4 linked regions of the Saccharomyces cerevisiae S288C genome follow. The protein of the gene in region 3 interacts with the protein of the main gene of each other region in a biochemical or structural test. Each region holds a gene or a part of one and is shown on either strand. Other genes may lie near its edges.

What was found.
Region 1: the proteins of SWE1 (region 3) and HSL7 form a complex in vitro, tested with the Saccharomyces cerevisiae proteins (2 studies listed by BioGRID).
Region 2: of the proteins of SWE1 (region 3) and PPH22, one has a biochemical effect on the other in vitro, tested with the Saccharomyces cerevisiae proteins (2 studies listed by BioGRID, with this or other methods).
Region 4: of the proteins of SWE1 (region 3) and CDC5, one has a biochemical effect on the other in vitro, tested with the Saccharomyces cerevisiae proteins (2 studies listed by BioGRID).

Annotation. Positions count from the first base shown.
Region 1 is NC_001134.8:501,304-506,156, forward strand, and holds HSL7 (protein arginine N-methyltransferase), read right to left. Parts: upstream 2,985-4,853; coding exon 501-2,984; downstream 1-500. Other genes in the region: AGP2 (Agp2p), read right to left, coding at 1-139; cyclin-dependent protein kinase regulatory subunit CKS1, read left to right, coding at 3,551-4,003; protein kinase MEC1, read left to right, coding at 4,365-4,853.
Region 2 is NC_001136.10:122,495-128,025, forward strand, and holds PPH22 (phosphoprotein phosphatase 2A catalytic subunit PPH22), read right to left. Parts: upstream 2,505-5,531; coding exon 1,371-2,504; downstream 1-1,370. Other genes in the region: RBS1 (Rbs1p), read left to right, coding at 1-1,095; YDL186W (uncharacterized protein), read left to right, coding at 3,122-3,955; VMA1 (H(+)-transporting V1 sector ATPase subunit A), read left to right, coding at 4,293-5,531. UniProt on the Saccharomyces cerevisiae protein: Exact function not known, phosphatase 2A performs an essential cellular function.
Region 3 is NC_001142.9:75,017-81,625, forward strand, and holds SWE1 (tyrosine protein kinase SWE1), read right to left. Parts: upstream 4,247-6,609; coding exon 1,787-4,246; downstream 1-1,786. Other genes in the region: 40S ribosomal protein uS8 RPS22A, read right to left, coding at 1-286; 60S ribosomal protein eL39 RPL39, read left to right, coding at 917-922, 1,309-1,458; alpha-1,2-mannosyltransferase MNN5, read left to right, coding at 5,139-6,609. UniProt on the Saccharomyces cerevisiae protein: Protein kinase that acts as a negative regulator of entry into mitosis (G2 to M transition) by phosphorylating and inhibiting the mitosis-promoting cyclin B-bound CDC28 at 'Tyr-19'.
Region 4 is NC_001145.3:268,345-272,759, forward strand, and holds CDC5 (polo kinase CDC5), read right to left. Parts: upstream 2,793-4,415; coding exon 675-2,792; downstream 1-674. Other genes in the region: YMR001C-A (uncharacterized protein), read right to left, coding at 3,003-3,233; MIX17 (Mix17p), read left to right, coding at 3,849-4,319. UniProt on the Saccharomyces cerevisiae protein: Protein kinase required for the cell cycle where it is involved in mitotic exit. A component of the fear (CDC14 early anaphase release) network which promotes CDC14 release from the nucleolus during early anaphase. Phosphorylates SCC1/MCD1 and NET1.

The sequences.
Region 1 (4,853 bases), on a different chromosome or scaffold from region 3:
CCACTGACCCAGAAGGTTCCAACCATCCCTCACTAGGTTCGATACTCTTTATTCGAGTGGTTATTGTCTTGTATTTATTCTTATCGTACTCAAAATCACCGTCATTTTCGTAGTCGATGGTCATACGTTCCTTTGTCATGCTTGGCAAAAGTTATGGAAGCAAAATGTAAGTGCAGCTTAGGGGGGACAAGGCTGAAGGAAAACTATTGTTTTTAATTACCACCTATTAGTATCTTAAAGCAAAGGAGCTAACCGAGATAATATCAATACGAAGTATGGTGAACTAACACTACCCTTACTCCTGAATTACATAAATTAAAGCAGGCAACATGTCGAGATCCATTTACCATTGAAGAGTTCCAAAAAAAGGGTTCTTTTTTTATACATGTAGTTTTACGGTGCGGCGCCGACACCCCGCTCGATCGATGACGCTGACTTGTGGTACTCAGGACGTATGGATAGTTATTTGTTGCCGCAGTATATAGTATACAATGCAGAATTCACAGAGGCAGGGAAAAGGCTCTGCCACAGACATTATGTAGCGTGGAAACACTAGTCTTGACTCTGACATGAACTTCTGGAACATCTTCCTCGAGGTCTTCGTGCCTTGGCAATTCGTTAGAGGGTTCAAGCGCTTTAGTAGATTTGAGATCAAACATAGGCTTATTGATAGAATCTAAATGGTCCGGTTTGGCGGTTTCGCTGAGTCCGTGAATATCTTGTACGCTTTGCCAACCAGTTTCTAGATTGGATAGGAATCCCTGTTCTTCTTCGTTTTCAATGTCTTGGTCAAGATCAATTTGATTATCTAGCTTTTGATTGGTAGTCGCTGAATAATGTCGATTATGGGCTAAAGTTTTAGTGTCATCTGTAACTATAGACCTCGGAATAGTCATGCTTGCAGCAGTTACCGCCGAAGTGTAATTTGACAACATAAGGTATATGAAACTCTCCAAAGACCATTCATACCAAACTTTTTGTTCTGTATCGGAGTGTATCCGAGACATCAGCACAGAAAGTTCGGAGTCATCTATAAAGGATATTGGTTGCTTCAAAGGAAAGATAATTGGAGACCACGAGGTCATATTTGGTGTATGGTCACATTTCTTGATTAGATTTTCTTCTCGTCTGGTATTCATCAACGTTTCTTCGCTAAATTTTAAACGGACTGTGCTGTCATTGGGCAAAGTTGACAAGAATATATTGTTATATAAGTTTGCCGAGAAGAATCCGATAAAGCCATGGATTTCGCCGCGGTGCTTTATCTTGAACTCATTTAATGAACTTTGAGAAAATTCAACTGTAAAATCATCTTCGTCTTGGACAGTATCTTTTTGGGCCATGGGATGCTCGAACCGCCACACTTCATTTACCCTTGAGGATAATATACAGTATGGCACTCTATGGACTATCCAGGGCGCCTCCAAAGAGCGATTTGTTTGTGAGAGTTTTTGGTAGAATAATGGTGACGAAATGGGTGCTATGTATGAAGAGTATGACCTCGGTATGAAAATTGTGTCATTGTGGGAATGATATTTTTCAATAGACCAGAGACATTCTGGTGATAATTCATTGCAACCGAACGAACCCAGCAGTTCACTTATGCACAGATCTATCTGAATACGCTTTTCCGACGGCTCGTTGATTTGCCATTTGGTCATATCCTCCTTGATTAATTTCACTCTATTATCCCAACAGTCGAAATTTCTTTTTTGCAAGTACAGATATGCCTGTGGATTTTTTTCAATGGCAATTATAGAAACCTTACTATCCATAAACAACATTGATATTATCTTAAAAGTTCGATCCACTAAAGGTCCTCTTCCCGCACCGGCTACTAGGATCACCAACGGTCTCTTGGCACTCGCTCGAGGAGCAAGATCTTGAAGCGCCTCTAATATGGCAGATTCGTAAAGATCGTACTTCACCAAATCTTTTTCAAAAGTCAAATATGTGGAATTTAATAAATTATCTGAATGAGGTTTCAGAGGCGGCATTATCCGAGAGTCCTCTTGGAGCAAAAATTGGTGATTACTATTGGAATTTAATACTTTGTCGCCCTTTTTCAATAAGTAGTTTATATATTCCAAATAGGCAGATTCTCCGCCCTTAACATTATTGGCATATTTCTCCATCCCATGCAATATCACGCATAATTCATTACCCAAAATTTGTGAATCTCCATTAACCTTTTGGAACTTTAAAATCAAATTCTGGTTAAACTTGTGTAAAACGGGATAATCGTACTGATTACTGGCAAAGATGGATGAAGATACCAAAAGACACGAGACGGGTTCGGCTAACCATCTATTCAGCACATACGAAGGAGTCCTGGTTCTTGGCAAAGCCAAAGAGATAGTCAAAGAGGGATGATATTCGCATTGTTTCCGCACGGTATTCCACAGTTCCCAAGTGGCCAATGGATCGCTGTCTTCGTAAAGTGGCAGAGAAATGGATATGGTTAACGCAGGCGCAGCAAAGACGATGCGATTTTGCAGGAGCCTGTAAATCATCTGTCCATACAATTGCAGGTTGGACAGGTCCCGTGGAGGCGCCAATATTAGCTTATTGATTCCAACAAACCTCGCGTACTTACATTCGTTTAGAAGGACCTTTAAGCCAAGATCTCTTACATTTGGATCGCGACTCTCCAGCTCCAGCCAAGAGGATAACAGCCCTATGTAAGACGGCGTATCGTCATTGTCTAGCTTCTTGACGTTGAACGGGGGTATACAGATATCCTGCAACTGCGGTTCAGGAATTTGAAGCGGTTTCCAGTTCTGTATGGATTGTCTTTGGAAATCTTTGAAAACTTGCCCAACTATTTCCTTATATCTTGGCGTTGTTATAGGAAGCAAAACGTAATCATAGTTACTAGGCAGTTCTGGTGAATGACTAGAGACATTTTCTAGGAAACGTGACTTTTTGCTGTGCTGTTTATGATTAAAGCCTGGTTTGACACCAACAAATACGTTGCTATGCATATGCAAACTGAACCCTTTGTATATATAAAAATTATATGTATAAAAGAAGAGGAACGTCCGCACAATTCCACACACACACACACACACACGCTTTCACACACGCAATTTGAAATAGCTCCTATAGGGCTTGGGAATAGGATCACAAGTCACTCGAAATATACCATTTTTTCTATCACACATACACATTGTATAAAGCCATTTGTTTCAAAAAAATATAAAAACACTGCGCAGCGTGCTGTTTCGGGTTCCATTTGTGATTGTTTATTTTTCTTTTGGTTTAGCTCAGTGCAAAACGAGGGCTCGAAGAATTTTCAGATAAAACAGTACTCGAGCCCTGAGATCTGTTTTAGGGTCTAAAAGGCGGGTTATAAAAATATGTCAGGTGATTTTTTTTTCTCGTGGTATGAGATAAATAAAGAATGGAGCTTTTATGCATGAAAGGACAGCGGATGGCAGTAGAGCAGACATCAGTAGCATTCATTACAACTCTGTCGTAAGTTCTTGGAACTGCTGGCCGCGTTGGATACAACTAGATTGACACGCACTTACTCTCGTCTTACAGTACTATGTACCATCACTATCACGCCTTCCAAGGCAGAAAGCTTACTGACCAAGAAAGAGCACGCGTGTTGGAGTTTCAAGATTCCATTCACTATTCTCCGCGGTACTCAGACGATAACTATGAGTACAGGCATGTGATGTTACCTAAGGCCATGCTAAAAGTTATCCCATCTGATTACTTCAATTCGGAAGTGGGGACCCTGCGTATATTAACAGAAGACGAATGGAGAGGCCTCGGCATCACACAGTCTTTGGGGTGGGAACATTATGAATGCCATGCGCCAGAACCACACATTTTGCTATTCAAAAGGCCGCTGAACTACGAGGCCGAGCTGAGGGCAGCGACCGCTGCTGCTCAACAGCAACAGCAACAGCAGCAACAGCAGCAACAACAACAACAGCAACATCAAACACAATCGATTTCGAACGATATGCAAGTTCCACCCCAAATCTCCTAGCTTTGATATACTCTAATTACTGAAATTGAATTCCTTTTCAAGGCTCCATAACTATATGGAGCATACTATGTACTTATCATAATAAAGAATAAACAAACAAGCAAACAAAAAAAAAAAAAACTATGGATCATAGTTTTCACCAACAAGCATTAGAATACAAATAAAATTTATATAGTGAATATCCTTCAAATAAATTTCTTCTTTCCCTTATAAATCAAATAGATGGAACGCACGCTCCAAAACTAGTCAACTAGAAAAAAATACCCGCCGACGGACAATTTTGAAGAGAGATGATTAATGAAGACAAAGTGAGGCTGGACAACAAGAACGACATACACCGCGTAAAGGCCCACAAGACTGCATGGAATCACACGTCAAATATCTTGACGAATTGATATTGGCAATAAAAGACCTGAACTCGGGGGTGGATTCAAAGGTGCAGATTAAAAAAGTGCCCACGGATCCATCTTCTTCTCAGGAGTACGCCAAGAGTTTAAAGATCCTGAACACCCTCATAAGAAACCTAAAAGATCAAAGAAGGAACAATATCATGAAAAATGATACTATATTTTCGAAAACAGTTTCCGCCCTTGCCTTATTGTTGGAGTACAACCCCTTCTTGCTTGTTATGAAGGATTCCAACGGGAACTTTGAGATACAAAGGCTGATAGATGATTTCCTCAACATATCCGTTCTGAACTATGATAATTACCACAGAATATGGTTTATGAGGCGAAAATTAGGCAGCTGGTGCAAAGCATGTGTCGAATTTTACGGAAAACCTGCTAAGTTTCAGCTTACTGCACATTTTGAGAACACCATGAATCTTTACGAACAGGCCTTGACTGAA
Region 2 (5,531 bases), on a different chromosome or scaffold from region 3:
GGAAAGCCACTCTTACAAGAGTTGCAGCTGAACAAAAAACCGGAAGAGTGTGCTTCCTCAAGTGAGAGTATTGAAAAATCGAACAATAACAGAATATTTCGAATCTTAAAGCGGAAAGAGGTAGGTAACGAGTGCGATTATAAAATCGATGGCAATACACGTACACCAAATAGCAATTTGACAGCCAATTCAAATAAGGACCAAAAAATCGAAATCGATGATAAATCTAGTACTGATTTGGAACAAGAAAGAATTGAGAAGGAAAGACTTTATGAACAACGTAAACAAGAAATTTTTGATAAGCTCAACAAGAGTGAAGACGATGTAAAGTCAACCAACAGTAGCGGTAGTAGTGATAGTGACAATGAATGGAGTGATTGGTTGAACGGAGATGACTCTAACACACAAACTAGTAACGGTTCAGTTAGCTCTTCATCACCATTCAATTCATCTGTGACGACGATACAAGTAAACAAACCTCAACAACAATTTTATGATAGTCGAAGAGGAAGAGGAGGAAGAAGAAGAGGAACAAACAATTACAAAGATGCCTATAGAGGCCAAAGTCGTCGGAATAAAGAAAACGGCGGTTACCAATCGGGATATTCTTCGCCATATCTTGTGTATCCTCCTCCCCAAATGGGTGGCAATAGTCTGCCAACCTACCCTCTAATGTATAACCCCGCTGGTCCTGCCCCCGGTCCTGCACCTTCACCCATGGTAATGGGCAATAACACAGTCTTCATGAACCCTTACATGTACAATATGAATCCCCAAGGGTCCTGTTCGTTTGGCACCCCAATCCCTATGTATCCCCCATACCAATATCAATATCAATACCAATATAACACTCAGTATCACAGCGGGCCATATAGCAATACACCAAGCTATAATTCTAACAATTACACAAGATCCTCAGCAAATAAGTACCACCATTTTCAAGGAAAAAATTCATATTCTGGTGCGATTCCGAAACGTAGTGATGACAGTAACAGTAATAAGAATGAGGGAATTCGTAGGGCTAGTGTTGAGGGTTCGCCGTCATCTAGGGATACTGATTCGGTAGAGATGAAATTTGATAAATTAAACATTTAGCGTGAGGAGTGAACTATACATAGCGAAAAAATTACGTAACGGTTTATAGAAATTCTAGTATGAGAACAGTAATATATGAGAAAAAGTTGTTTTCACTTTGTGTTCGAAAAAATAAGTATTTGAAAACGAAAAAATAGTTTGTATGTTTGTATATAAGTTGTTATTATCAAAAATTAGAGGGAAAAAGTAACTAAATATATATTAAAAAAAAAAAAAAAATAAATGTATGTTGGAATGAAATAGCGTAGTAAGGATAAAGGTGTAATAGATATATATTATAAGAAATAATCCGGTGTCTTCCTGGTGACGGTTGGTTCACCGGGTCTCACAGATGGATCGTATTGTAAGAATTGCCTATTATGGTTTTCATCCACCTCCATAATAGCGGCCTGGTTACCACATCTATAACAATAATTTGGAGCACTGAAAATGGTGACAACATTTTGCTGGTGAGACCAAGAATATCCTTCCATTACCAATTGGTGAGCTCTTGCTATTAGTGATAGGTCATTAGTGTGATTGAATTGCTCACTGATGTCTTGACCAAAAGTGAAGCCTGCACCTCTCGGACTGATTCCCCATCCGCCTCTATCATCAGGATCGGACCATAGAAGGTCACACATTGGACCTTCGTGAGGCACTTCCTGTATTCTATTTAAATCTCTAACTTGATCTATTGTCTCTATCATGGGTGAGAGACCTCCATGCAAACAGAAGATTTTATTATCCACCAAGGCAGTAACGGGGAAATAATCGAATAGATCGGTAAACATTTTCCACACGTTCGCACTGCCGTACTTTCTCAAACATTCGTCATAAAACCCATATACTTGGGTAATCTGCCTAGACTCGTGATTGCCCCTAAGTATAGTAATTCTATGTGGATATCTGACTTTCATGGCAACTAGGTAAGATACGGTCTCAACAGAATAATATCCTCTATCCACGTAATCACCCATGAAAAGGTAATTGGTGTCAGGACAAGGACCACCAATCTTGAAAAGTTCTAACAAGTCATGGAATTGACCGTGTACGTCACCACAAATGGTAACAGGCACGTTAATTGGTTTAACATTCTCCTCGAACTGCAACACGTCCACCGCCATTTTACATAGTCGTGCTACATCGTCTTCTGATAGTGGCTCGCATTTACTCAAATGCTCAATCCATTGGTCAAGCTGATTTATATTTGTATTGGTCAGTTTTAGTGGTTTGGAGGATTTATGATCTGCTATACCCGAGGACCCCGGTTTAAAATTAAAATCTTCCAACTCTTCATCTGTGTCTTCGTCATTAGAACGCGCCTTCGTATTATTTTTGCCGTCATCACTATTCATGTCTTCGTCGAGAGTCGGTGATAATTGATCTTCATCTGAACCATGCATAGGGTCATCAATTTCCATATCCATTTTTTTCGAATGAAAGCCAGTTATACAGAAGTGCCAATAATATAAAATTCAAAAAAAGACGTAACAGGAACAATAACCGGAAAGGAAAGAGAGCAGGTAGGACAAGAAGTAAACGGGTTTGCGTGTTCTTGTTCGAACACTGTTTTGCAGCGGGCTGGTACCTTAAGAAGTTTGCTCTAGTTACAGCCCTTCAATTGGTTTTATAAAATGGGGATGTCCCTTTGAAACTTTCCACGACTCTTTTCCACAATTCAGCGGAAAAGAAAATAATAACCTCTTCTAGATTACCCGGTCATGTCAGGGTAATACACGATTGTATTTCAAAGTGCACAACGACTATTGTTGTCGTATAAGCTTTTGGATTAATCTTAGCATTAATTGATACATAATTCCGCAAGAAGAAGTTTTAGGAGAATAGAGTTTCGCTTCTTTTATTAATATTCTGTCCTGTGTCACAAAATATTGTAATAATTTGGTGCGGTGTATGGGTTCAAGTTCCCAAAAAAACAACTAATTTGCGACACTTCGTAGTTCTGTGCTTTTATATGGAATATACTTGTGGACTCTATTCCTGGATGTAGATTTGCTTACAGATAGCCAAGAAATATTAGAAAAATATGCAGTGTAACACAAGTATAGAAGATGGTTTAGATGGGGGCGACATAACTTTCCCATCCTACAGCCCTGAAGCGGAGGCTCAAAACAGATTCTTACCAAGAAGTGAGTTCCCCTCTGTGAGGCAACTCGTGATTTCGAAACAAAAAAGCAGAAGAAGAAGAGAAGAAAATGTATTTGTGGGAAAAATGGAGGACGTACTTGTAAAATGGAGGCCACCTGCATCTTCACATCGTGGCGCAATTGAAGCTATTAATGGCACGCATCCATATCAGCTTAGCACAGCACAATTCAACTCGAGAAGATCGGATCCATTTGGTTCAACAAAGAGAGATGAATCCGTGCGTTCCATTGTAGAATCGTTTACCGATTGGTGGAAACGCAATTCCAAAATGTTTTTTCGTGACGAGGAAGAAGGTGTACGAACCGAACACAGTGCGAGTCAAGATGACCAAGAGTTGCAGCTTTTCGAAGAAGATCTCTTCTCATTTCACCTAAGCCCAAATGATATGTCAACCAGGAACAGCGAACATCAAGTGCAAACACCGGTGCTTTTCCCGTACGAAGCTCCTACTCGAACAAAACAAAACCCAGCAGAAAGAAAAGTCATTGAAATTGGGGACGGCGAAGAACTCTCTATCTATCGAGATGTTTATTCCAATCCTATTCCTGTCAGCTACCTAGATACCTTAAACTTGAACCACTCCATGTCTGTACGGCAAACACAACAGCAACAACAACAGCGGCAACAGCAGCAGTATGTAGACTCTTCATCGGCATTTCAATGCTGTACAGACTCCAATTGGGCGAGAATATTTTTTTGCCACCACGATTAGACTCCACTTTGCTTCTATAGTCCTATCTATTGTTCTTTTTATTCCTAGCATAACCTTATTGTATTGTTCTTTTTCTTTTTCCTTTTTCTTTTTTTTTTTTTTTTTTTTTTTTTTTTCACATCTTTTTCCACGGCCGCTCAAAGGGGTCTCACACTGGATTAAAAGCTGAAAACAAGAAATGGCTCTTTCGATAAGGTTGCAACATTTTGATTACTACGTTGATTAGAATAAAAAGTACCAAACACATTTCTCAAAGCATATAGATATCTAAGATTATAACGCAGGAGTCGTTCTTTCATTCTTAGAGTTAAAAAGCAAATAGAGAAGAAAAGAAACAATGGCTGGTGCAATTGAAAACGCTCGTAAGGAAATAAAAAGAATCTCATTAGAAGACCATGCTGAATCTGAATATGGTGCCATCTATTCTGTCTCTGGTCCGGTCGTCATTGCTGAAAATATGATTGGTTGTGCCATGTACGAATTGGTCAAGGTCGGTCACGATAACCTGGTGGGTGAAGTCATTAGAATTGACGGTGACAAGGCCACCATCCAAGTTTACGAAGAAACTGCAGGCCTTACGGTCGGTGACCCTGTTTTGAGAACAGGTAAGCCTCTGTCGGTAGAATTGGGTCCTGGTCTGATGGAAACCATTTACGATGGTATTCAAAGACCTTTGAAAGCCATTAAGGAAGAATCGCAATCGATTTATATCCCAAGAGGTATTGACACTCCAGCTTTGGATAGGACTATCAAGTGGCAATTTACTCCGGGAAAGTTTCAAGTCGGCGATCATATTTCCGGTGGTGATATTTACGGTTCCGTTTTTGAGAATTCGCTAATTTCAAGCCATAAGATTCTTTTGCCACCAAGATCAAGAGGTACAATCACTTGGATTGCTCCAGCTGGTGAGTACACTTTGGATGAGAAGATTTTGGAAGTTGAATTTGATGGCAAGAAGTCTGATTTCACTCTTTACCATACTTGGCCTGTTCGTGTTCCAAGACCAGTTACTGAAAAGTTATCTGCTGACTATCCTTTGTTAACAGGTCAAAGAGTTTTGGATGCTTTGTTTCCTTGTGTTCAAGGTGGTACGACATGTATTCCAGGTGCTTTTGGTTGTGGTAAGACCGTTATCTCTCAATCTTTGTCCAAGTACTCCAATTCTGACGCCATTATCTATGTCGGGTGCTTTGCCAAGGGTACCAATGTTTTAATGGCGGATGGGTCTATTGAATGTATTGAAAACATTGAGGTTGGTAATAAGGTCATGGGTAAAGATGGCAGACCTCGTGAGGTAATTAAATTGCCCAGAGGAAGAGAAACTATGTACAGCGTCGTGCAGAAAAGTCAGCACAGAGCCCACAAAAGTGACTCAAGTCGTGAAGTGCCAGAATTACTCAAGTTTACGTGTAATGCGACCCATGAGTTGGTTGTTAGAACACCTCGTAGTGTCCGCCGTTTGTCTCGTACCATTAAGGGTGTCGAATATTTTGAAGTTATTACTTTTGAGATGGGCCAAAAGAAAGCCCCCGACGGTAGAATTGTTGAGCTTGTCAAGGAAGTTTCAAAGAGCTAC
Region 3 (6,609 bases):
CTGGCAACAAGTTGGCAGTCCATTTTTCAATGTCACCAATCTTAACGTTGAATCTTGGGGAAATAACACCACACTTGTTCAATCTACCGTTCAATTGAACAACAATCTTACCAGATCTGTGGTCATCGATGTATTCAAATTCACCAATGTAACCGTGCTTTTGCATAACTTGCAAAAACTTGATAATGACCTTGGAGGATGGTCTGATTAAAACTTGACGCTTACCGGTCTTTTCAGCGTTGTTAATGGCATTCAAAGCATCAGCTAAAACGGAAGATCTGGTCATCTTGGATATGTATGTTGGTCTTGTTTTATAAAAAATACTAGAACTGAAAGGCCATTAAAAAACCTTACAATTTAAGAATTGAATAGTCGATTAAGATTATTTAGATTGAAATTGACTAACTGCAAACCCATATTCAAGAATTATTTCACATCTTCCAGCGAGTAAACATGCCGCTGGTAATCGCGCGTCCTCAATATTTGAGTTTTTCAAATAGTGAGGTGTGGATGTATAGAGGAATTACACACTTTTAAGTATGTGATGTATGGGCGCACAGTACCAATTTAACTTTTTTTTTTTTTCATTTTTTAGCTTGATTTTCAAAAAACTTATGGGCGTTTTAGGCTCCGGCTCAAACTACCACCACCACGCGGCAGGCCGAGGCAAACAGTACGCCTTGGCGGGGACGCCGAAGCGACTCCTTCTGTTCCAAGCTCAATGGTCCTTGCGTTTACGCTCGCGCGTGGGCTAACTAACGCAATTCGGCTTTTGGGCTGTCGAGAACCGAGAATTATTCTTCGCCTTGATAGATACTTTAAAACTTCTACTTAATATACTTTCTACAATTTTTGGTACATTCATATTATACTGAAAATTCGAAAAAGACAAGCAAATAAACACAGATAGATCAACATGGCTGTATGTTAGAAAGATATTATAAATCCCAGTTAGATGCTGAACTGATCAATAGCAAATTATAAACCACATCCATCTAAATGACCTTACCACCTACAATTTGGATTTGAAATAGAAGCAATGTGTAAAATATAGGGAAAGGATTAGGAGTGTTAACCATACTAAAATTTTTCTTATCCGAAACAGAAATCTAAAGTCGCCACTACGCAGATTAAAATATGGTCATAAACTGCTTATTCTGAGAACTTTTGGTGGTCCAGCGTGGTTTATGTCAGGTGGTATTGCCTTGGATCCGTGAATGCATCACATTGATGAGTTTGAACATTGTTACTAACATTTTTTACAATTGTACACTTCGTATGTGCACGATATGTTTCCCTTTTAATTAGGCTCAAAAGTCTTTCAGAATCAAGCAAAAAATGGCTAAGGCTAAGAAGCAAAACAGACCATTGCCACAATGGATCAGATTGAGAACCAACAACACTATCCGTTACAACGCTAAGAGAAGAAACTGGAGAAGAACCAAGATGAACATCTAAGCGAAGAACATATTTATGCTTCAAACTTTTTGTCATTTGTCTTCCATCCTTCCCTTATTCTCAATATATATGTAATACGTCGTATTTGATATATATATATATATATATATAATATAATTTAACGGTTGTTATCTGCTACATCTGTAAAATAAAAATAAAAATGCTTGAAGCGGCTGTACTTAAAATAAACTCATCTAAGGTTTTACATGGTATTACTACCGGACTGCAATTACACTCTTTTTCGTTATTGGATTATTTATACAATGCGGCCCATAAGCACGTGTGGGAAAAAAGTATGTAAATAAAACAAGGTTTTTTGTTCCATTTATCATATAAAAAATTTTGGCTTAGGTCCAAAGTCGTCTTCCTGGATAATAGCACCTGCATTGCGTGTCATTTCTACATACAGGCATTCCTCAGTTTGTAAGATTTGATTTGCCGTGGGCCTTCTCTCATAATTGGGCTCTATCATCCATCGTACTATTCTCTCAAGTGATTCACCATCAATAAGAAATTTCGGTACCCATGCGGGAATTTTAGAACTTTTATGCAAAATAAGACGATTCTTGGTAGCGGCAGTATTGACATTATTATTATCGTTGCCATTATTCATATTAGGGTTGTTGATATTACTATTGTTATGAACAGTGGAGGTGCCAGCGTTGTTACTATTACCACTGATATTGTCTCTTTCAAAATCAAATAAATCATTTGTATCTACTTTCGTAATGTCTGAAAATAATGATTCAGAATGAATATCTGTGGAACTTAATCTTCCTGCATCCGATAAATCACCCGATCTCAACTTATGCCATGCGTTGCCATTGTCAGGTAACACAACGTTCGCTGCAATTTCAACAATCATCAGACCCAGGGAAAAAATATCTGCCTTGTAATCGTACGTACAATCAGAAATGATTTCTGGTGCAATATATTCTCTGTCACCTTCATTTTCAAAACTTTTATCCTCCAACGGTAAATGAGTAGCCATTCCAAAGTCACCTAGTTTTAGGTTACCTTCAAATGTGATCATGACGTTTGCGGGTTTCAAGTCCAGATGCACAATGTGACAAGAATCATGGATGAATCGTAAAGCCAGGCTTAATTCCACGATGATTTTCCAAATTCTCCAATCTTCCAACCTTTTTTTCTTTGCGATAACTTGCTCTTGTAAAAATCCATCCAAATTACCATTTTCGCACAATTCTGTCATAATATAGTATGAATTTTGAAACTTCCAGGAACTGATGTAATCGATGATGTATTCCTTCCCTTCTTGATCCATTGTAATTTGGTTTGTTACCTCGTTTAGTATTTTAATTTCCAGTAATATGCGTTTCAAGGAATTATATTTGTTTGGTTTAATGGCTTTGATTGCATACTTTTTGTTTGTTTGGGCAAACGTAACCTGGTAGACCGTGGAAAACTGGCCTTTACCAATGGAATGCACATTCGTAAATTTTTCGAAAAGATGGGAATCTGGATTTGCTGATAACTTATTTGAAGAGATTAGACGCCTTTTGGAATTTAACGGCGAAGAATCGGTGGAAGATATGGAATGCGTCTCTGCACTTGTTGTGTTTGTCACGATGGCAGAGGAGAGTGACAATGGTCTGCTTTCTCTATGTGTTTGAGATGTTGCCCCAATAATAGATTTTCGTCTTGTTGGAGTGGAGATCTCTTCGTCAGTGTCATTGTCATAGCGTCCACGAAATTGATAAGGTTGAGGGTTCTTTCTAGTTGAATGATGACTTGATATTATGATTGGAGGTGGGAAATTCTCGTCCGTGCCGTATAAATCATCTTTGAATTGTTGTAAACTGTTTGTTAGCTCTCTATTTTTCAAAATAACCGAATTCCTTGCTCTTTTGATTTTTTTGAACTTGTTAGAATGCAATGTTTGTGGAGAGCTGTTGGTAACCAAGCTATTAGTGGGAGACAGGATGTTTGTCTGGTTATTGTGACGATCATGTGCATGATATTTTGCCTCGCTCAGTGGGGATGAGTCTATGGTTGGTACATGGATGGAAGGTAAAGCTTTCGAAGACGGAGAATCTGAAAATAAAAGGTCTTCTTGTAAATTATTGTCTTCAACAAAATTTAAAGGGGAAACACTTAGAGAAGACGATGCATTTTTCGAACTCGAAAGGTGGACATGCTTATGGTCTCTTCCCTCCACTAAGGGTGATTTTTTCACTGGTGTTTCTGGTATCCTCAATTTCGCAGGGTATAACGAAGTGTCCATAGACATTTTAGATACGAGGCCCGAAGACGTAAAGGCTGATTGGTTAGGTTTAGCGACGCTATATGAAGAGGATGAGGATGTATTTTCAGTGCGAGCATCATTTTTCGGAAACCATCGCTGGTTCCATTGTTTGAGAGAAATAGGACTGTTCGTTTTTTCCGCAGATCTTTTTGTAATAGGAGTAGTAACACTTTCATTTTCATGGAACGGAGACCACCTTTTAATACGAGAATCCACGCTTTCCTCATCCTTGCCTTCTTCCTCCTCTTCTTCCTCTTCTTCAATTTTCCCAAGAAATTTGGAGTTAGCCTCTGACAAAGCTGTATTACTTAATGACAGGTTCAAGGTCCCCGTACTTCTTGTCAATTTGTTGTTCGAATATGGATAAAATTTCAGTTTATTGGTCGGGGTGCTACCCCCTATAGCAAAATCATCACTCTCGTCTTCGCCGGCCTGTTTGCCAAACATCTTCTTCCCCATAAACTGGAGGTTCTCCGTGTCCAGCATTTCGAAGTCCTCTTCATCCTCGTCCAAAGAACTCATCTGTTCTCGTGTGCGCCTGTGTGTGTTTACTTTTCCCCAGCACTACGCAATCAAAAATAGTAAGACCTGTTCAGTAGTAATCCTTTTTTTATTGGACTAACTGCGCAAGATGATGTGCAGGATAGTTAACACACGCATACATACAAAAAAGAGCCTCTTGGACAACCTTTACTTAATACACAGGGGCACGCCAATGTTCAACTGTGTTGTTGATTTCTTATCCAGCATTCTTTTACTTCTCTGCATTTTTTTCGCGTCGCGTCGCAAATTGTGATGGTTAAAAGAAAAATGAAAAAATATTTTTCGCGTCGTTATCACCCGGAGGAATAAAAAAAAGAAACATACACATCACGTGACCACAAGAATGTTAGAAAGGCTTACCAGTACTAGAGACGTTAATAAATTGCGAATAGCCCCCTATCTCCCACATGTTGGCATCTGTGAGGTGGAACCTATTTAAAGGTGCCACATTTCTTTCCTTAGAGGACGATGGTTGCAAGATCAGCACAAATCCATAGTTTGATGCATGGAAAGCGAAGCACTCTAACAGAAGTAAGATAATAAACAATCTCACGATTCTACTGATTTAAGTGCAACTAGCTCTTGGGCTTCTTTTGGTTGCCAAGTCGGAATAGACGACAGATGCATGTTTCGGTGCAGAGTTCAGAGAGATAAGTGCCTTCTTTTATCTTTTTCCCCGTTCTTGCGGATTTTTTTTTTCACTTTCTCATCGGCGGGGAAAAAAAAGTGTAACAACTAAAGGATCAACACGGCTTTAAAGTGTTTTATATATACGCAGATATGAAAAAAGCATTTTCACGGTTATTGGAAATTTTTATTTTACGACTGGTTCCTAGCACAACAAGAGGATATACTAATAGTTCAGGTTACAATGCTGATTAGGTTAAAGAAGAGAAAAATCCTGCAGGTCATCGTGAGCGCAGTAGTGCTAATTTTATTTTTTTGTTCTGTGCATAATGATGTGTCTTCTAGTTGGTTATACGGTAAAAAGCTTAGATTGCCGGTTCTAACAAGGTCGAACCTTAAAAACAATTTTTACACAACACTGGTACAAGCCATCGTGGAAAACAAGCCGGCAGATTCGTCTCCGGACTTGAGTAAGTTGCATGGGGCGGAAGGGTGTAGCTTTGCAAATAACGTTGCTGCACACGACTCTGGACACGATAGTGACTTAAGTTACGAGAGCTTGAGTAAATGCTATAATTTGAATAAAACAGTACAAGAAAGCCTACGAGAAGTGCACAGTAAGTTTACAGACACCTTATCAGGGAAACTGAATTTTTCCATCCCACAAAGAGAGGCACTTTTCTCAGGTTCTGAGGGCATTGTCACCATTGGAGGTGGAAAGTATTCTGTGCTCGCGTATACGATGATCAAAAAGTTGAGGGACACGGGTACTACATTGCCTATTGAAGTCATCATTCCGCCTCAGGACGAAGGCGAGGATGATTTTTGTAAGAACTGGTTGCCGAAATTCAATGGTAAGTGCATTTATTTCTCAGATATCGTTCCTTCAAAGCCATTAAGCGATTTAAAACTCACGCACTTCCAGTTGAAAGTCTTTGGGTTGATAATTTCCAGTTTCAAGCGTATTATCTTCTTGGACGCAGATAACTATGCGGTGAAAAACCTTGACCTTGCTTTTAACACTACATCCTTCAACGATACTGGCCTGATATTGTGGCCCGATTTTTGGAGACGTGTCACCCCTCCCGCCTTTTACAACATTATAGGATCTAGCATTAACATCGGCAAAAGAGTCCGTTTTGTTAGTGACGATATTTCCCCCGTGTCACGTTATGATCCATTTGTTAGTAACTCAAACGATTACACTCCAAAGGAGAGACAGGAGCATTTCCTGAAACATGTTCCCTTACATGATCTGGACGGCACGATGCCAGACTTGAGCTCTGAATCAGGCCAGATGGTGATTGATAAGATTCGCCATTTCAACACTCTATTACTGGCGCTATACTATAATGTTTATGGGCCTACCTGGTATTATAAGATGATTTCTCAAGGCACTGCCGGTGAAGGTGACAAAGACACTTTCGTCGCTGCTGCCCATGCCTTGAATATGCCATACTATCAAGTGAGGACTAACTTTGAATTTGATGGTTTCTTCTATCAAAAAGATGATTACAAGGGTCTCGCCTTGCTCCAGCATGATTTTGAACAAGATTACAAGCAATACCAAAAGGCGCAGCAGAAAGTTAAAGCCAACATTGAGGAATTTTCCAAACTGGATCCAGATTATACTTTGGACAATGGTTTCTTGAAAACTTTGATGGTTAATGATGACGGTTCTGATTTGGATATCATGTTCATTCATGCCAGTTTCT
Region 4 (4,415 bases), on a different chromosome or scaffold from region 3:
TTAATTTCGCAATTTGTTGATGAGAAGTTCTGGCTACCTTAGTCACTATTTATTTTACTATGGCGGTATAAGTTTCTCCCGCCTTGAAAAAAGGAATACAGTAATAAAATGAATATAAATCAGGATTTTTTGGATTTTAACTAGGTAACAAAGAATTAGCAAATAACTGCCCATAATAGTATTCTTAAGTTTGTAGATACATGTCAAGTAAGCCAGCTTTTGATAAAACTTAAAAATTGGTAAACCGCGGATGTACCAAGTGAATAGCTTTCAAAATTAATGTTGTCACTCTTCCAATGGGCACCTGTAAGAATAATTAAAAAGAAATCTAGGTTCAAAACAATATTTTTGAGAAAATCTCAGGAAGCGACAGGTTATCATCCCATACATACAATATGAATACAAAAGCATGGCAATTTTGAATAGATATAGCTCTAGAACCGCTCAGGCGAAAAAAAACGCTATATGAGAACTATTGAAAAGGAAGAACTAACATGAAAGATGTTTGTTCATTTCGTACCTTTAGAAAAAGGGTATTAATGCTAGGGGTAAATATTATATATTATCTTCGTTAAGGGCAAGACCATTTATTTTATTTAGTATTAGTTATTAATGGGGCCCAATCAATGGACTGGTAATTTCGTATTCGTATTTCTTTCTACTTTAATATTGGTTTAATCTACGGTAACAATTGTGGACTTCTGCTTCAAACCTTCCTTTATCAAAGTTAGTTTCTCTCTAAAGTTACTTTCTGGATATCCTGGGATCTCGCCATATTTTAGTACTTCAACTAAGGGATATGTGGTGCTTTCATGGGAGGGAGAAATGTAGGTCACCAATTTACCTCCGTCGGATATTGCCATTTTATGATGATCTTTGAAATTGAACTGGAAAGTACCATCACTTAGTTCAAACATAACAAATGGTTTATACCTTGTGTATCTTCTCAAAAATACATCATCTTTATGATATTCTTCTCTGCCAAACGTAGATACTCGGCTCAAATTTGCCTTCATGTACTTGGCAAAAAAATCAACTACTTCTAAATGTCTACTTAGCTCTCGTGGTTTTTCGCTCAATAAATAATGACTTGCTACCCAACCTTCCCGATCGTCATAACTAATATACCAAAACTCTTCTGCATCTGCCAATCGGAGAACTGTGGTGCCATTATTAAATAAGACACCAATATCCTCTGTTGATAACTGATAGGAGAATCCGTGTTTGTTGGAGTAGTCGACCCACTTGGTAACTATCATTGGGTGTTTAATTTTAGGCAATCTTGATTTCGGAAGACCTCCCATTTTATACTGAGCTTCTGCTTCTACAATGCCATTCAAAGTAAGATGACACTCACTGGCTAATATTCTCAAGGAGATTTCTGATTTAATGACATTGGTCGATGTAGCTATTAATTCTTTTCTCAAAACGGCCTGTTGTGCTCTACGTATCCTTGCTTCACGAGCCAAATCGTTTAATCTTCTTTGTGCCTCTATATCAACAACCTCCTTATATTTCTGTTTCGTCCCGCCAGGGGATAAAGAATGTGGTAAAAATGGTCTGTTTTGGTGGTACTCTTCTAGTTTATCGATACTAGATTTAATTGAAGAAATATAATCCCTCTTTTGACGCTGAATTTTATCGCTGCTCATGCTTTCTAATAGTAGAGATTTTTCCATGCAATCTTTGAAGTTAACCAGTGACTGCTCTTCAGGAATATCCTCAAAATTTGGTGCTTCTGACATGACCGTCGAAGGAATAGATGGTGGGAAAGTTCCCCTAAACCATACATAATCCATAATTTCAGTCAAAGAGGGCCTTTCTATTGGATCTAAGGATAGAATGTCTCTTATTAAAATCTTACCTTCATCTGAGATTGGTTTATCTCTTGGAAACGAAAAATCACGACATTTGATTCTTTCATAAATAGTGTTTACATCTCTTGCTTGGAAGGGTGGCTTACCAATCAACAAAGCATAAAGCATAACACCTAATGACCAAATATCTACTTCAAATGAATGTCCAGAATGCTTACCCATCAACACTTCAGGTGCGATGTAATTAGGTGTTCCGCATATGGTGTATTTACGTTCACTTTCATTCGCCAACACAGCTGCCAGACCGAAGTCACCAATCTTTAAGTTATAGTTTGAATCGAAGAAGATGTTACCAAGTTTTAAATCTCTATGTATAACTCTTCTTGAATGCATATACTTAATTGCACCACATATTTGAGTGGTGAAAAATCTAACTTCTGGTTCTGTTAAAACTTTTCTTCTTTTTAGTAATTCCATTAATGAACCGTTGGGGCATATCTCCAATAAGATATAGACATTGCTATCATCCTCAAAACAATCAATAAACTGAACGATATTTGGATGGGACATACTTTTATGAATTTGAATCTCCGACAACAACTTTTTTCTTGTCTTCTCTGATTTAATTGAGGCTTTAGCAACTGTTTTGGCAGCAAAAATTTCGCCTGAATCGTCCTTAATTTGGAAACAGCGAGCAAATCCACCTTCACCTAAAAAATGACCTCGGTGATAGTCTTTTCCTCTTGTTTTGATTAATGAAGGTGGTGTTTTACACAAAGCTGATAACTTTTCCCTTTTCTTTTTTTGAGCTGGCTGGTGGTGATGATCATTATTCGGATCTAGTCTCTTTGTTTGTTTAAAGTGATTTTCTTTTCCTACGAGGTCTGCGGTATTTCCCTTTATTGGGGTGTGAACTAACTTGGAACGGGTATTCAATTGCTTATCATTGATAGCTTTAAGAGGACCCAACGACATCTTTATTCGACTTGATCTTACTCTGTTCTTTCTTCTCCACGGCTGTGATTTTTATTCTCTATGAATAACAAATGTAACGTTTATCGATGAATGAAAGAGAGTATATATAGAGAAGATATAAGAAAGCCAATGTTTTTGTGTACAAAAAATAATACTCAGCTCAATTATACAAACTTGACTATGCAGTTTAGCTTTTTTGTCTTTTCTTTTTTAAGTTTTCTTGAAAGTTAATGTAGTATATGCCACAAAATTGAAGGATGAAAAAATAGGAAAAAAAGCAGAATCAGAATTTGACACAAAAGGCTTATTGTTCTTTGAAACTGCCGCTTGAATTGGATTTACTTTCTCAGTGATTCTATATGTATTGTACGAAAGTTGAGTAGCACAAGAGTAACTGTTCAAGATATGCCTTGTTTCAAAGGATGTACATTCAAAGATCATCCCAGGTCCTCGAGATATTTATTCGTTCTATATTTTGGATTTTCTTTATTGGGTTTGTTTTGTTTTGACCCTTTTAGGTAATATCTTTTGACAGAGAAAAGTCCAAAAGTTCTTCCGGGTGATGCTACATAATGCCCTACCCGGGCAACATATAGAATAAGGTATATAAAGTAATAATATGCAGTGAAGTTACCACCGGGTAACGCATCTAGAACAGCTGAGATGAAAGAGGATAGGCTTGATCGCAGATTTTGCCCGCCCTATCTTTTCAATGTTCCTTCAACAATAACATAAATTTTGATGTAAAAATATGCTGGCGTCCTCGTACGATTCCCTCTTCATTTATCACAGAAGATGGTGATGATTCTACACATCTGGAAGGCAATAACAGTGCAACTTCATTTTCCGAGGTTCGGTTATGTCATGTGTGCTTTTATACGGCAAACGCCACCTTGAACAAAGGTATAAAAGAAAAGCGCTTTTTCACTCCACCGCAATCTCCGCGACCTATATAAGCCTATCACTCGTACAGTTTATAACCTTTAAGAAAAAGGATTAATATTTCGAACAAAGAACAGAACAAGAAAAGCAACAACAGCAACAAAATTCTAAAATATGGCACGTTCAAGAGGATCATCAAGACCTATATCGAGATCGAGACCTACTCAGACAAGGTCCGCTTCTACCATGGCGGCTCCAGTTCATCCACAACAACAACAACAACCAAATGCCTATTCACACCCTCCTGCTGCAGGTGCCCAAACGAGACAGCCAGGTATGTTTGCGCAGATGGCCTCCACTGCTGCAGGTGTTGCCGTTGGTAGCACCATTGGACACACCCTAGGTGCAGGTATTACCGGTATGTTTTCCGGATCCGGGTCTGATTCCGCTCCTGTTGAGCAACAACAGCAAAATATGGCCAACACCTCCGGCCAAACCCAAACGGACCAGCAGTTGGGAAGAACTTGTGAAATAGACGCGAGAAACTTTACACGTTGTTTGGATGAAAACAACGGCAACTTCCAGATATGTGATTATTACTTGCAGCAACTAAAAGCCTGCCAGGAAGCTGCACGTCAATACTAAGTTTAAAAGCTCAAAAATTTAGAAAATATTCACTAAAATCATACATTTCGGTAATGTTCTTGTTTTAACCATGTCATTTGACTTATTTTTTTTTGA